Tribolium castaneum: one gene and its partners. The protein of the gene in region 1 purifies or fractionates together with the protein of each later gene. This does not show direct contact. Links are inferred from orthologs where the notes say so. Each region holds a gene or a part of one and is shown on either strand. Other genes may lie near its edges.

Region 1 (4,545 bases):
AGAATCGACATGTCCTAGAGAAAAAATTGTAATGATTGAAGCACATCAAGGTAAGTGTACCAGAATCTCGTCATCGTTTTGCTGCGGCGCCTTGTGGTAGAGTGAGACCAAATGCGAGGCTAATTTTCGGTCGAAAAGCTCGCTTTGGGGGTCCAAAATCAGAAAAATTAGGTCAAAGCGCGATAAAAGAGTGTGTGGTAGTTGCACGTTTTCGATTATGGTTTTATTTTTGTTCCATTGAGATTCGGACGGGTTTGCGGCCGCGAGAATTGAAGTCCGGGCGTTTAACTGGCAGATTATTCCAGCCTTGGCTATGCTCAAAGTCTGTTGTTCCATCACCTGTAAAAACTCTGTTTAAATTTTGATCAATTGCTAAACAATTCTCAACTCGCCTCGTGCAAGACACTGCGAGTCGAGTCGTTCATTTTGTCGAACTCGTCGATACAACAGATGCCGTTGTCGGCCAAAACTAGGGCCCCCGTTTGCAGAACCAACTGTCTAGTCTCGGTGTCTTTGGTCACATAGGCTGTTAAACCAACAGCTGAGGAGCCTTTCCCTGAAGTGTACTGACTTCGGGGAACCAAATTATAAACGTATTGTAAAAGTTGTGACTTGGAGGTTCCCGGATCTCCACACAGCAAAATATTGATTTCGGACCGAAAATTCGTACGACCTGACGTAACAAATTTTTTCTTCGTTCCGCCAAACAGTTGTAAGAGAATCCCTTTTTTGACGTCGGCGTTTTCGTAAATCGACGGCGCTAAAGCGTGAGCTAGCCGTTCGTAAATATCCTCTTTTTCTGAAAGGAGTTGTAATAATTCGATCCGTTCGGGTGGAAAACGATGGTCTTTGCTGGAAGAATAAGAGGGGAAGTGAGTTATTTTTTCACTGTGGTGTTTTTACCCGTCCTCCTCTTCGTATAAGCGTTTCGTGTCGATTTTACGGAAGTGGAGGACGTCAATGTGTGTTTTGTAAACCGCGCGAAGGTTGCGTTGTCGGGGGTTCACTTGAAGGGGTTGCGCTCGGTAAATCCCCGTTACGGTGACCCTGTCGCCCGGTTGGACGGCGTCCACCAGGTCGTTGTGGGCGAAGAGGACGACGGTGTGCGGGGTTTGGCCCGCAGGCATGTCGTCTGACCAAAAACATTATAATAATAAAAAAAAATAAAAAATTGTGCTTATGATTTAACTAGAAAACGTTTTTTTTATGTAACTGTAACGTTTAGTTAAGTGGGTAAGTGTTAAGTGTGGATTAAATAGAAGATAGATAATAAAAAATCTTCAATTCTTCCCGAGGTTGGCGACAAAAATAAATTTTTTCTTATAGTTCAAACAATTTTTTTCAGTGTAAAATATAAAAAAGTTGAAATAAATTAGAAAAGAAGAAATATCATGGATGAAGATAAACTGGGATCATCTTGTAGAATGGTTAAGAATAAAAAATAAAAATAAATCCGAGGAGAAAACATAAATTAAAAAAATACCCGGGGATTCCTGCAATTTGATCATCTGTTTGTCGGTGAACTGCGACCGATTGTGGACCAAAGTAAAGCAGTGATTGGTGTTACAACTGGTGCAAAGAGTGGGTTCGGTAATGCGCCCCCTGTCAATTTCCACAGTCGTTGTAAAGTTACAAACTATACATTTGAAAAATGCCTCTCTCATCTCAGGCATTAAATTCGATGTACGGATGACCATGCCAGTGATTGTGATCAACTGATCAATATCTGTGCAAAAAAATAAAATTTTATATTAAAAGATTTTTTTTTGGAAGGAATTTAACCTTCAGGGTTCAGGGCCCTCATATTTCGTGTTTTTTCCGCATTGAAGGGCCGGACTTGAATCTGGTGCTCCAATTCAGCAGCAGGATAACGCTCGTAAAACATTTCGTTGATCATCATGTCAAAAATTGGAATGACTTCTTGAGGATACGAAACCAATTGGCGGTATAAATTGGCGTCAAAAGTCTCAATGTGAGAACAGTTGACGTTCAAAAACGGCTCTTCGAGGGTGTTTATCTACGAAAAATAATTGCTACACGATCAAGTTTGTGATCAATGATTTTGAAATTAAGTTGGCAACAGATAAAAAAGACAAATACGATTGTTTTTTTTAAATTTGTCTGACGCTTAAATCTGATAGCATTGCCAACGTAATAACAAAGTCAACGCCTCTTTGATCATGATAAGGTTCGCACCTCGTCCAATTTTTGAAAATACAAGGGTTCGTTAACATTCATATCATCAGTTCTTTCATCTTCTTCCGCATTTGGATCAATAAACCGCAAAACAAACTGTTTGAACTTCTCTTTACATTCAGCAACTGAGACATTAGTGCCCCAAATGACCAAATGCGGGGCTGTACTGCCCTCATCACCCTCAGCAACCGGATCCAACTAAAAAAATCGAGTCAAAACGAGCTCAATTTTTGAAACAGTTGTTGAACCTCTCCTCCGACATTAACTTGTCTCATCCTCCGATCAGTCCTCACATCGGGCCGCATCCTAATTGGGGTCCCCCTAATCCCCGATCTGGGGGTCCTGATGGACCCCAAAGAGCAAGGAGTCCCGTAATTAAGTGGCGAAGATAAATCAATCTCGCTCATTGCCACCGGTGGGCTTGTGACCCCAGCCGGAGACGAGGGGATTTCCCCGCCGTCGGCGTCCAAATCACGTCGGGCTCCGCCCCAACGCATTGGGGTATCAATGGTGTCGCTTTTGGCAGGAGTTGGGTTCCGTCTGGGGGTCCGAGATGGGGTTTGGGGAGGGTCCTCACGAGCTGGGGTGCGGTGACCTCGAGGGGTTTGACCCCCGGCAGGTCTGCGTCCCCGAGGAGTGGGCGCATCATCGTCGCGGTTTGCGCGAGGGGTACGATGGGGGGCTGGGGAAGACATCTAATTTGGGTTTTTAGGTGGAGTTATCGCTGATTTAATCACTTACCGTAAATAAAACAACAAAAAATGTGTTGATAATGTTTTTTTACACAATTAACCAACTGTTGTTGCTGTAAAAAAGGCGGGAAAACGCTAAGTAGTTCGTGGAAGAGGTTGCAGATGACGCGCGCTTTGTTAATAGTGGCTAAAGTTTCAACGTGGTTTTAATGATTGTTTACCCCATTGTTTGTAAAATTAAAACTTTGTAACAATGTTGATTTGTAGATAAAAATTCTGTTAAAACCGAATTTTATAAAGTTTACGTTATTACATTATTTTCAAGGCTGCTTGGAGTTGCCTTAGCTACAAAGCCGCATGCGCACAGAATTTTGTTTTAAAAATCAAGTGGCTTTATTGTTTGTTGTGAAAATTTGTTGGTGTTTGTTGCTTAAGACTTTTTTTGGTGAAAAATCGTGCAGAATTGGTGTTGGGTGTGTTCCAGATCGAGAAAAAGGTAGGTTTCACATTTTGTTATTAATTTAAGGTCAAAATTTTGATGTTCTTGTGCTTGAGCTCCCCGTATTTCTCAAATTCGGACATTGTGAAAATCTTATGCATCTTATGCACTACAGCATTTAAACCTTTCTATTAAAGATATAACAATAAAGATAGCAATATAAGGCCCCAAAATTGAATTTTTTATCATGAATTTAACCCTACATAGAAAAAATGAATGGTATGCAACCAACATTACGAACGTGTAATTCTACAGTGAACGGACTACTTACTAAGTTAATAAAATTTTATTCAGAGAAAATGATTTTTACCATTAAATAGTAAAATATCAAAATGTTATGTAATAAATTTCATCAGGCACATACCATTATTTTGCTAAAATTTGTGGAAGGTAAAAAAAATTGGTATGGGTGAAATAAAACATTGTTTTTTCAATACATTTATATTTAAATTTTCACAGATGAAATTTGATTGGATAACGAATAACCATTACACCCTTCAAATAATTACAAAAAATGTAGGTATGTAGTCGTGAACACTCGATTTAATTAAAGGTAGGTAATATTTACAAGGCAAAATAGTTATTTATATACAGTTATATACAACATGTACAAATTCTGATATAATCTCTTATACGATATATAAAAAGTCGTATTTAAGTAACAGACTTGGCATTTATTTTTGAAAAAAATGATACATCGACGTATCCTTCAGATAATTTATAATTATCACATTTATTTTCATTACCTAGGTTTATGTACAAAATATACAAAAATAACACTCGTATAAATGAAGCGAATACAAAAACTTTCAGTAGGCAAAACGCATTTGACAAAAACGGCCTATACAACAATGATTTCCTTGAAGCTAGTAACATTTTCATAAGTTTATCTTTTTTACAACCACTCGCGACGACGTACACCAGCGAATAAAAAATAAGAAACCCCACCCTCACAGCACGTAAACCTTCCAAGATATGTTAATTTTGCCAAGCGTAAATAATTCCCGGAAGAAAAAAAGTAAACCCTTTGTTCCCAGTGAATTTAGCCTGTTGGTACAATTTCGTTGGTAGATATAAGAATACTTAAAACAATTATTGGAACCCTGTCTTTGGCAGCGTTTACAGGGAAGTCACTTGTCAAACCGTGCTTTCCCGCTT
Region 2 (4,623 bases), on another chromosome or scaffold:
TTCGACCGGTGACTTGCCTCTGAGCCCCCCTAAAAAAAACATGAAAGAGCCGCGACCGTGACTGAAGCAAGCAAATACATGAAAGGGGTCCCGATGTACGAAAAGTGGAGCAAGTAGCGATTCAGAGCCATTTTCGTGAAATACATCGCTGTTATTAAAGCGAGGTTATGTCACAAAAATAATGGTAAATAACGTGCTGTTTCCCATTTATATCTCGAATTAAAACAAGCAAGGGGCCCCCACATGCACAGTAAGCATCAAAGGGCGATTCAATGTAATTTGCGCCGATTATAGCGTTTTTTGCGAAATTAAGGTTATGTAAGATTAAGGTTATGTAATAAATAAAGCCGGGTGTTTGTTAAACATATTTATTAAATAGAAACTTAATCGCTATCGGAATTGGCGTCACTTGACGCGGGTGTGCTCTCCTCGCTTTCGGATTTATTCTTCTTTTTCTTGTCTTTGGGTTTTCCGCGTTCGCTATCGGAACCCTTCCTTTTCTTGCCTTTATCATCATCACTGTCGCTACTCGAGTCGTCGTCTTCGATAAATTCCCGACTTTTGACTTGACTGGGTTTGACGGAAGGCATAGAAGAGGTTTTCTTCTTTGCTGGTGCTTTTTTCTCACTTGACTTTTTATCTTCCGATTTTGAACCCCCTGAAGCTTCATACTCCTTCATGGCCTTGTTGTACTCCTCTTTGGCTTTGGCCGCTTTCCCCTCCCACTCAGACTTATCCTTCAATTCCTTCCACATCTCTCCACCTTTCTTTGCAATTTCGGTGATTTTAATCCCGGGATTATCTGCCTTGATTTTATCCCTCATCTCATTTAACCATAGCATGAACGCCGTCGATGGTCTTTTCGGTTTATTTTCGTCCTTTGATTTCTTGGCCCGCTTTTGGCGCGGTTTCTCCGACACTGTCTTAGCCGGTTTCTTCTTTTCTTTCTTCTCCTTCTTCTCTTTTTTGTGCTTCTTCTTATGTTCATCACCGGAACCTTTCTCTTCGTCTTCGGACGACGTTGAGCTCGGACTTGAATCAAACTCTTCAGCAACGTCACTCTCATCCTGAGTTGGCTTGAAATCTTCATCAGTACTCTCATCTTCACTTGGACCATCGTCATCATCTTCATCACGTTCTTGTGCCTCGGCCTTAACCCTCTCCAAGTAGGCATCAGGGGCCGCCTCATTATCCGAATCGCCAAAATCGTCATTATAGCCCCCTTTATCCTGAAAGAACCAATCAAATTAAACCAAACCAAAACGAGTGAAATTGTTACGTTTTTGCCCCGATTTTTGATATTCAGTTTCTTGGTGGTAATGAAATCAAACAATTTGTTGTATTCTTCCTTCTCAATGCTGCTAAAGGTGTGGACAGTCCCGGATTTGAGCTCAATTTCGAAATCAAACGAACGGGTACTTCCCCCACCTCGGGCGAAATTCACAGAAGCCACTTCCTCGAAACGAATGTGAATTGGGGGCTTGTGGACGTACATGAAGCCCCGTTCAAGGGGGTACAAGTAACCAGCGGCTGCCTTGAACGAACAGCCGATAGCTGGGGTCCCTGAATGCCCGACAAAGCCCCCCGGGCCGGTCAGTTTTCGATTAATTATAACCTTCATGACTTTGCCTAAGACCTCGTAAGTGGGGCCTGATAACTCCTTATCCAGCTTGCCCTCATACTTGTCCTTGAGTTCCTCACTGGAATTATTAATTAGGAAAAAATTTTGGCCTAATAATTAATTAATTAATTACTCGGTAAAGGGTAATTCGATCGAAGTCTCCTCTTCTTGACCAAATAACAAGACCAAAAAATGATACCTGGTTTGGCCCTGTTTGATGGGTGGATCAAGACTCACTACGAAAAACATCTGCCGGTTGTCTTTGTGTGGAAGGAGAAACAAACGCAAGACTGTCGACATTGGGATTTTATAATCGAATGTTTTTCCATGCAATTGGAAAAACGTTTGGAAAATTTTAATATCGTAACGACCACTAGAAAAAAATTCTTAGGGAAATTTATTTGTGGTTTTTCAAACCAACCGTGGTGTGAGACACTGAATCTCCCGAAATATCGCAATAGCGTCGCCTGAGACACTGATAACCGAAGCCTTCTTCATGACTTGTTTTTGGAAGGCTTCAACTGGGTCCACGTCTCCGGCTAATTCGTTTGAAGGAATGAAAAATCGCATTTCCATGAGGCTTACAGGGGCGTCATCATTCTAAAATCGATTAGTTTTTGACAAAACGGCCAGAAAACGGGGAAAAAAGTTTGATTTCTAACAAAAAACGTGTAATTTCGAACGTAACAGTTAAAAACAATTTGGTGATTTTGTTATGTTTTAACGAAATTTTAAGAAAAAAGCTGAGAAACGTGTTTAAAACCTTGGTAAAAGTAAAAAGTTTGAAATAAAAATAAGCGCCCCCTTCCCACCTGATGAAACTCCATCGTGATTTCATTCTTCCCCGCCGTACATTGAGACACATGATTGAGCGGAATCTCGAAAGCGCTGTTATGTCCCACCTCGAAGCTCAAAACCGAGCCGTTGAACTTGGCTGTGCCCCAGTTCCAGCCCTTGAGACTCAACTCCTTCTCCAGCATGTCGATTTTGTAAGTGTTCGAGAAGAATTTGGCGATACGTTCCTTTTCCGCGTCCTTAAACCCGACAAATCGGTGCAAAGTGCCGTTCTTGAGGAACACGCGGATCCCCAACGAACCGGCAAAGTTCTGGAAATTGACTGCCTCGAAATCGGACGCCGAAATTGACTCGACTTTGCCCGTCTTCGAGTTTTTGAAAATGATGTTTTGGTCGGTCATTTTGAGTTTACCGCCGGTCTGAAACGAGGAAATTGAGGGGGAATTGGGGGAATGGGGGCTAACGTACCATGCAGCCTTTGACTTCGGCAGAGATGTCCGAATATTCCAGGAAATCCATCTTGGGGAAAATTCACTCAAAGTTTGGTTTAATTTACGAAAAAAACAATATAAAAACACAAAAACTTAGCTCAAGTATTTTTTGTGGTGTTTCTTTTTGTTTGGATTTTTTTTACAGGTTATGCCGCCATTTGACGCAACTTCGGCCTTGAAGTCAGGCTGCCACAACAAGCCCGCGAAACCACTAGAAATAAGTTGGCAGCGTTACGCAATTAAAAAAAATTACAAATTCAAAATTGTTATTTTATTGTAATTACAAATGTAAATTACTTAGTATTCATTGTAATAAACAAATAAACGAGAGGGCTAAATTTATTTTGTTTTATTTTTGCCCACAACCAAAAATTAGTTCTTTTCATTCTGAAACCAAAATACAACTTTTTAAATTTATGAGGTGTAATAAAATTCTGCCCGACTTGAGTTACTTTGCATAAAGCGTATTCAGTTTCAATAATAATGTCACTTGACATAAAAAATGCTCTTGTGGTCGCAAATAATCCGACTGGAAACCACAAACAGTCAAAATGAAGAAAAAGTTATTTGTGGTCGCTTTTATCTGAAAGTTTGGAAATTATCGTAAATGTTGACGCGGTTTTGGATTTTTTTTTGGAAATTCTATTAAACCAAATCAATAAAATCATGGGTGCTCAAATATTTATAAAATGGTAGGTGCGTGGACCGAAAAATATATAAAAAACGACGATATTTTAAATAATTATTAAAAAACTCCTTTCTCCGCTTTGAATGGGCAAAATCGCAGGTTGATGACTTTTTTCCTTCCGTCAATGACAGCAATACCGGAGTTGGCTGTCAAAGCCCGGCATTCACCGGATCCGCCAATCCGGTGCCGCCATTCCGGTCATATGACCCCAACTTGTTTATTTTGAGCATCAGCATCTTGATTTCAGGAGAGGCACTCGACGAGTGCAGTGGTCGTGTAAAGTGTCTCGTAATAACGCGAGTTGCTGAAAAAAAAATTCAGCGCGTTTCAGTTTTACGAACGTTTTCATTCGCTATGTAAGAAAAAAACAAAACGCGCGAATGGCAACGAGTGCTGTTTTGTGACCTGAAAAATTCTCCTCTTCCATTTGCTCGTCTTGTATGTAGTTTGGAAAATGCTGGGCGTCTTAAAGCGACGTTGGAAACCCAAAAGGTGAGATATTTTGAGAAATGGCGACCTTGACGCTTTTTAACACCTCTGTAAAAATAGACCACGAGGAGAAGGCGCGTTTGTAAATTTTTGCCAAATCTTTTATGCATGTGGATGAAAAGTAGGCCGTTTTTCCGTTTTGCAATTGTTTGGTTTATTATTGTTATTGATCCCGGTAGCCTGGCAATCCCCTCCGCGATGCTCAGCTGTTCCACTGTTGATATCTTATCGATCCGGGCAAACTAACCTCAATCTCCACCAAAAACCTATATACCACTCTTTTTCCTAGCTAATTTTTACGTTTTTGAGGAAAAAAATCCAGGAAATTCGGGTTAGAGGAAACGATAAATTGATAAAGTGATAAGATATTTGCTGAATTATAGCTAATTCGTCGAAAGTATGAGTATATTGGATGAGTCCAAAGGGTGGCTCAGTGGGAGTCTTTAAATAAAGTAGGATGAAATTTATGAGATACAAAGAAAGTAAATATTGGGGGTCATGGCGTGAAGAATGTGAATGTTGCTAAAAATAGCTCATTG
Region 3 (4,494 bases), on another chromosome or scaffold:
TATCAGATAAGTTTGTAGCTACTCATTTTACACGACACTTAAAATATAAATTTTAGGTAAATAAATTGTTAAAATAAAGTACGACAATTTACATCTTCACTTAACCAACACTCTTTAAAGAACTAAATGAGAATAACAAAATCCGAGCTGATTATAATTGGATATAATTTAATTGGTTGTAGGTAAAATAAACCTTTTGTGCCCTTATCGTTGGTGACTTTTTTATTTAACATTTTGTTGTGAATTTGTAACACGTTCTGTCAATTAATGCTTCGACTAACGTAGACATTTTTATGAATTCGTAGTATTATTTAGACCGTATCGCTTTACAATTGCAGACTATACTTTACAACAATCGCCTATTGCCTGGGATAAATTTAGAAACAATTTTTTTCATTAAAATTTGAATCGAAGAGCTCTTGAAGCTTGCGGGCCCTTTTAGGCTCCGGGCCCGGGTTCCACGGAACCCCTGTGGATACGCCACTGGTGTCAACCACTCGCAAACACAACATGCTTTTCGACTAAATGCTGTGGTTTATCGGCCTATTATAACAAAATTTTGCTAAAAAACGCGATAAATCGAAAAAAACTCAATGTCTATTTATTTTGTGATTTTTACGAGTCTTTTAACAAGTTCTAGCAAAGTAAATCAGTCTGAACTTAGAAAAATATAAGACAACTTCAATTTTGATCTAATTCGGAGATGTTTCATCCATTTCTCGGTAAATTTTTCGAAAAAAAAAAAAAACTCAAGAGTTGAAGAATACTAAAGTAACACCCATTTTAGTAAAATTAGGTGACTTTTCGGTCTGTTTTTTTAAACGTGCTAAAAAAAGACAAAACGAAATAATTTTAGATTTAAATTTTTAATTTTCGGTCACTTCTAGCAAAAAAAATAGAGATTTTAGCCCTAAAACATGTCTAAATACTCAAGAAAGGCAGAAATAACGTTATTTTTGATCAGAATTTATTGTTGTAAAAAATTTTTGAGTATTAATTAATAATTGAATCTCTGGTTAAAATATTCTAATTTTTACCTACCTTTAGCAAAATTTTTCTAAAAAAAATTTAGTTAATATCTCAAAACATGTTTAAATATTCGAAAAACTCAGAATTCACACAATTTTCAGTGTGACTTGGTGAAATTTCGGTTTGTTCATTACAAAATACCATTTGGAAAAGAAAAAAGAATATTTTACTCAGCTAAATTTAGAAAATTCATAAGAAACTCCAAACACTTGCTTAGAAAATATAAAAATAACACACTTTGCGACCAAACTTTTATCTTTTAAGCTTACTATTGATGAAATTTCGCCCAAAAACGTGATAAATCGAAAAAAACTGACATCAATTCCAAATAAATCAGCCTCGAACTAAAAAATATAAAATAAAAATTTCGATATATTCGGTGAATTTTCATCCACTTTTAGGTATATTTTTTGAAAAAAACTTAATTTTTAACTCAATGAAAGTCGAAGAACACTAAAATAACACCCATTTTAGTATATGTTTTGGGTGACTTTTCGACTTGTTTTTAAGAGATTTCGCGAAAAATTTGCGTTGCTGGTGAAAAAAAAAAAAACGAAATAATTTTGGATTCAAACTGGTAATTTTTCGGTCTCAAAAAACAGGTTTTAGCTCTAAAACATGCTTAAATGCTCAAAAACAGGCAGAAATAACATTACTTTTGATTAAGATTTATTGTTGTAAAAAGTTCTTGTGCAATAAATGAATCTCTGGTTGAAATAATCACATTTTCGCGTAAATTTTTCTAAAAAAAAAACTTAGTTTTTATCTCGTGTACACAATTTTCAGGGATAATTCCTTTATTGGCTGTAAATGGAAAAGGAAAAAAAATGTTTCAGTAAATTTAGTGATTTTTACAAGAAACTAAGAATGTAAGTTCAAACACGTGTTTACTGGCTTGGAAAAAAACGAGCAAAATCGAATAAAATAAGCTAAATTAAATAAATTTCGCTTTAATTTCATGATTTTTCAGCTAGGAAGCTCAAAAGATAAGAGTAACACAATTTTATCAATAACTGTGTTTGCTTTCTGAAATATTTTCCAAAAAACTTTGGCAAGCACTTTGTTTACTTGTAAATTTATCAAAGGTTTTAAGGAATACCAACTAGGGCCTAAGGTACCAAAGTCATCTACGAGCCCCCATCATAGCCCCCATTCATAATTTACCCTTCTTATTTATGTACAATAAAAATGGTATTTTAATATAATTTTTTTGCTACAATCTTTTCCATTACGACTTGAGTCAAAAGAGGTTTTGAAATTAATAAACCTGGAAACTGTAGTTAGAACTACCTCCCTAACTTAGAAACCCAAGTATAAGCGCCACAAGTGATACCAACATGAATAATTAATTATACAAACTACAGTGTCTTAAAGAGGTGGACTGTTGTTTAATTTACCAATTAATTTAGCTCTTTGTTTGTGCAACCATTGGCCATGACAGACATCAGTTTAAATATTAGTTTTGGTGATAAAACTATCAATATTATAGTTTCCCATAATACAGAGTGAGCAGCGATAACAACCAGGAAACAGACGCAGTTTAAAGGGCCAAAAACTCACCCGCTTTCTGCACAGCTCCAAAACTATATAAATATTGTCCGTATCCTCGAAAAAACTATAAAAACCGACAATATTTTTGTGTTTCAACGACTTGTGTATCTGTATCTCCTGAGTCATTTTCTCCTTCTGGTTTTCCTTGACTATCAGCTTTTTCGAGACGACTTTCCCGGCGAACGTTTGGCTGTTGGCCACATTCGTAATTTCGTAGCATTTTGCAAATCCGCCCTAAGAAAAAACGGCCACTATCACATGAACCCATCGACAAAAACAACACTAACCTTGCCGAAGAACTGCCCCTTTTTGTACCTAATTTTCGTGTTCTCGTCGTATATATAGTCGGGAACTACGACATAATCGTCCACTTTCGACATTTTCACTAATTACTCCTAGTTTTATTCACAGTTATTGCGTTTGGTTGGGTTTTTACGGCAAGCATCCACCACGGCTTGAAAAACTTTTGGCAGTTGAGAAGATTTCAAACGCCGGCAGCTGATTGGCTGATTGGACAGGAAAATGGTGGGGAAAAAAGAATTGTCAACGGAAGTGACTACTTGCAGAACGCGATCTCTAACCACCAAACAAAAATAGACCACAATAAAATACACAAAGTGGTTTATATTGACTCAACAACTTTGGTTTGGTCGATCAAAAATTGGGCCAAACGCTGATCTTGACCGTATTTTAAATTTAGTCTATCAAAACATTGATTTATGTGTTATGCAACTCACAAAATGCTTCTGCTGAGGGCGTTGCCTAGCTAACAACCTAACAATTAATATTAAAAAAAAACTAAACAGAAATTTATACAGGACTGTAGGCCGCGCATTCAGGCAGGGCGAAGGCCTACTCCTAAAATTCTTGTTCTTCCTAGACAAATTTTATACGTTTTATAAAAATTTATAAAATATAAAATTTTAACTTTGCGTTGTCTACACTTTTTCAAAAACACCATAAACATGTACGTATTTTTATTTTTGGGGAAGTCAAAACTGCAAAGCGTCATCTGTTATGCAACATCGAATGTGTATGATTTATGAGAACACTGTTTTTTCACAAAAAAATAAATCTGGCAATTATTATTACTGCACTTGGTTTTCGAGGAAAAAAAAAGGCACACGGGAAATTTATTTTGACTTATTTTTATTAGAGTTTAATAATAAACGAGAAAATGTTTGACGAATACAAAGTGTTCTGTCTAAACTAAGTTTCGGAGTATTGAAAAAAGTACTGAAAGTTTTGATAATAACATTTATCTGAAAATTAGCCTAGAGCCATAGCTCATTGATTGAAAATATTTTCAAAATGGCGGCACTTCCGATTGTATCGAAAATCGCTATGAACTTTTTTATTAGCTTTTTCCTATTCCTAAATTTAGCTATTTTCTAAATAATCAGAATTTTTTGGAAATTTTTGGATTTGCACCTTTCACTTCAATAATCGTAAATTCTGCTATTTTTAGAATTTTAGAAACAGTATTTGGCCAATCAAAAACAAAGCCTAAATCTTTCCTTCAGTGTGTTCAAAAAAGTTTACAAAATCCAAAATCTTAACGTTATTTTTGGACAGCTTCTACATGCTATAAGTTTTTATTTCACTAAATAGAAGAAAATTTAATTCTGCAACGATCTGTGTTGGCATTTCTTATGCTTATTTGTGATAATTTTCAAGTTATGTTAATTTTTTTGACATTGCTAGCCACAGATATTTTTGCGCAGTTTGACAAAGAAACATTTCATTGAATAAACGATAAATTCTGTTCAAAATTTTGTTTTCCTTTCCGTTAAAACAAAATGAATTCATTGAATTTGGATTTGAAAAACTTTGATTCCATAATTTCATTTACCTACATCCCTACATACAATATCAACAAAAAATCCGCATGAAAACTGTTAAACAAAAGTATAG

The links. Proteins that work in one complex are often made in the same cells at the same time.
Region 2: the proteins of dpa (region 1) and Ssrp purify together in Homo sapiens (affinity purification with mass spectrometry; 4 studies listed by BioGRID and IntAct, counting the BioPlex papers as one, with this or other methods). This does not show direct contact. The link is inferred for Tribolium castaneum from reciprocal best matches to the Homo sapiens genes MCM4 and SSRP1.
Region 3: the proteins of dpa (region 1) and polo purify together in Homo sapiens (affinity purification with mass spectrometry; 3 studies listed by BioGRID and IntAct, with this or other methods). This does not show direct contact. The link is inferred for Tribolium castaneum from reciprocal best matches to the Homo sapiens genes MCM4 and PLK1.

The regions. Positions count from the first base shown.
Region 1 is NC_087396.1:22,083,672-22,088,216, forward strand, and holds the start of dpa (DNA replication licensing factor MCM4), read right to left. Parts: upstream 3,096-4,545; 5' UTR 2,938-3,095; intron 2,892-2,937; coding exon 2,445-2,891; intron 2,395-2,444; coding exon 2,197-2,394; intron 2,018-2,196; coding exon 1,783-2,017; intron 1,727-1,782; coding exon 1,484-1,726; intron 1,133-1,483; coding exon 904-1,132; intron 853-903; coding exon 393-852; intron 340-392; coding exon 61-339; intron 15-60; coding exon 1-14. Other genes in the region: side-VII (neural cell adhesion molecule 1), read right to left, coding at 4,525-4,545. UniProt on the Homo sapiens protein: Acts as a component of the MCM2-7 complex (MCM complex) which is the replicative helicase essential for 'once per cell cycle' DNA replication initiation and elongation in eukaryotic cells.
Region 2 is NC_087395.1:25,956,913-25,961,535, forward strand, and holds Ssrp (FACT complex subunit Ssrp1), read right to left. Parts: upstream 3,096-4,623; 5' UTR 2,936-3,095; coding exon 2,885-2,935; intron 2,836-2,884; coding exon 2,434-2,835; intron 2,222-2,433; coding exon 2,043-2,221; intron 1,995-2,042; coding exon 1,755-1,994; intron 1,701-1,754; coding exon 1,280-1,700; intron 1,230-1,279; coding exon 384-1,229; 3' UTR 355-383; downstream 1-354. Other genes in the region: tRNA pseudouridine synthase-like 1, read right to left, coding at 1-29, 79-146; uncharacterized protein LOC661743, read left to right, coding at 4,050-4,087. UniProt on the Homo sapiens protein: Component of the FACT complex, a general chromatin factor that acts to reorganize nucleosomes. The FACT complex is involved in multiple processes that require DNA as a template such as mRNA elongation, DNA replication and DNA repair.
Region 3 is NC_087398.1:11,007,713-11,012,206, forward strand, and holds the start of polo (serine/threonine-protein kinase polo), read right to left. Parts: upstream 3,096-4,494; 5' UTR 2,961-3,095; coding exon 2,868-2,960; intron 2,815-2,867; coding exon 2,590-2,814; intron 1-2,589. UniProt on the Homo sapiens protein: Serine/threonine-protein kinase that performs several important functions throughout M phase of the cell cycle, including the regulation of centrosome maturation and spindle assembly, the removal of cohesins from chromosome arms, the inactivation of anaphase-promoting complex/cyclosome (APC/C) inhibitors, and the regulation of mitotic exit and cytokinesis.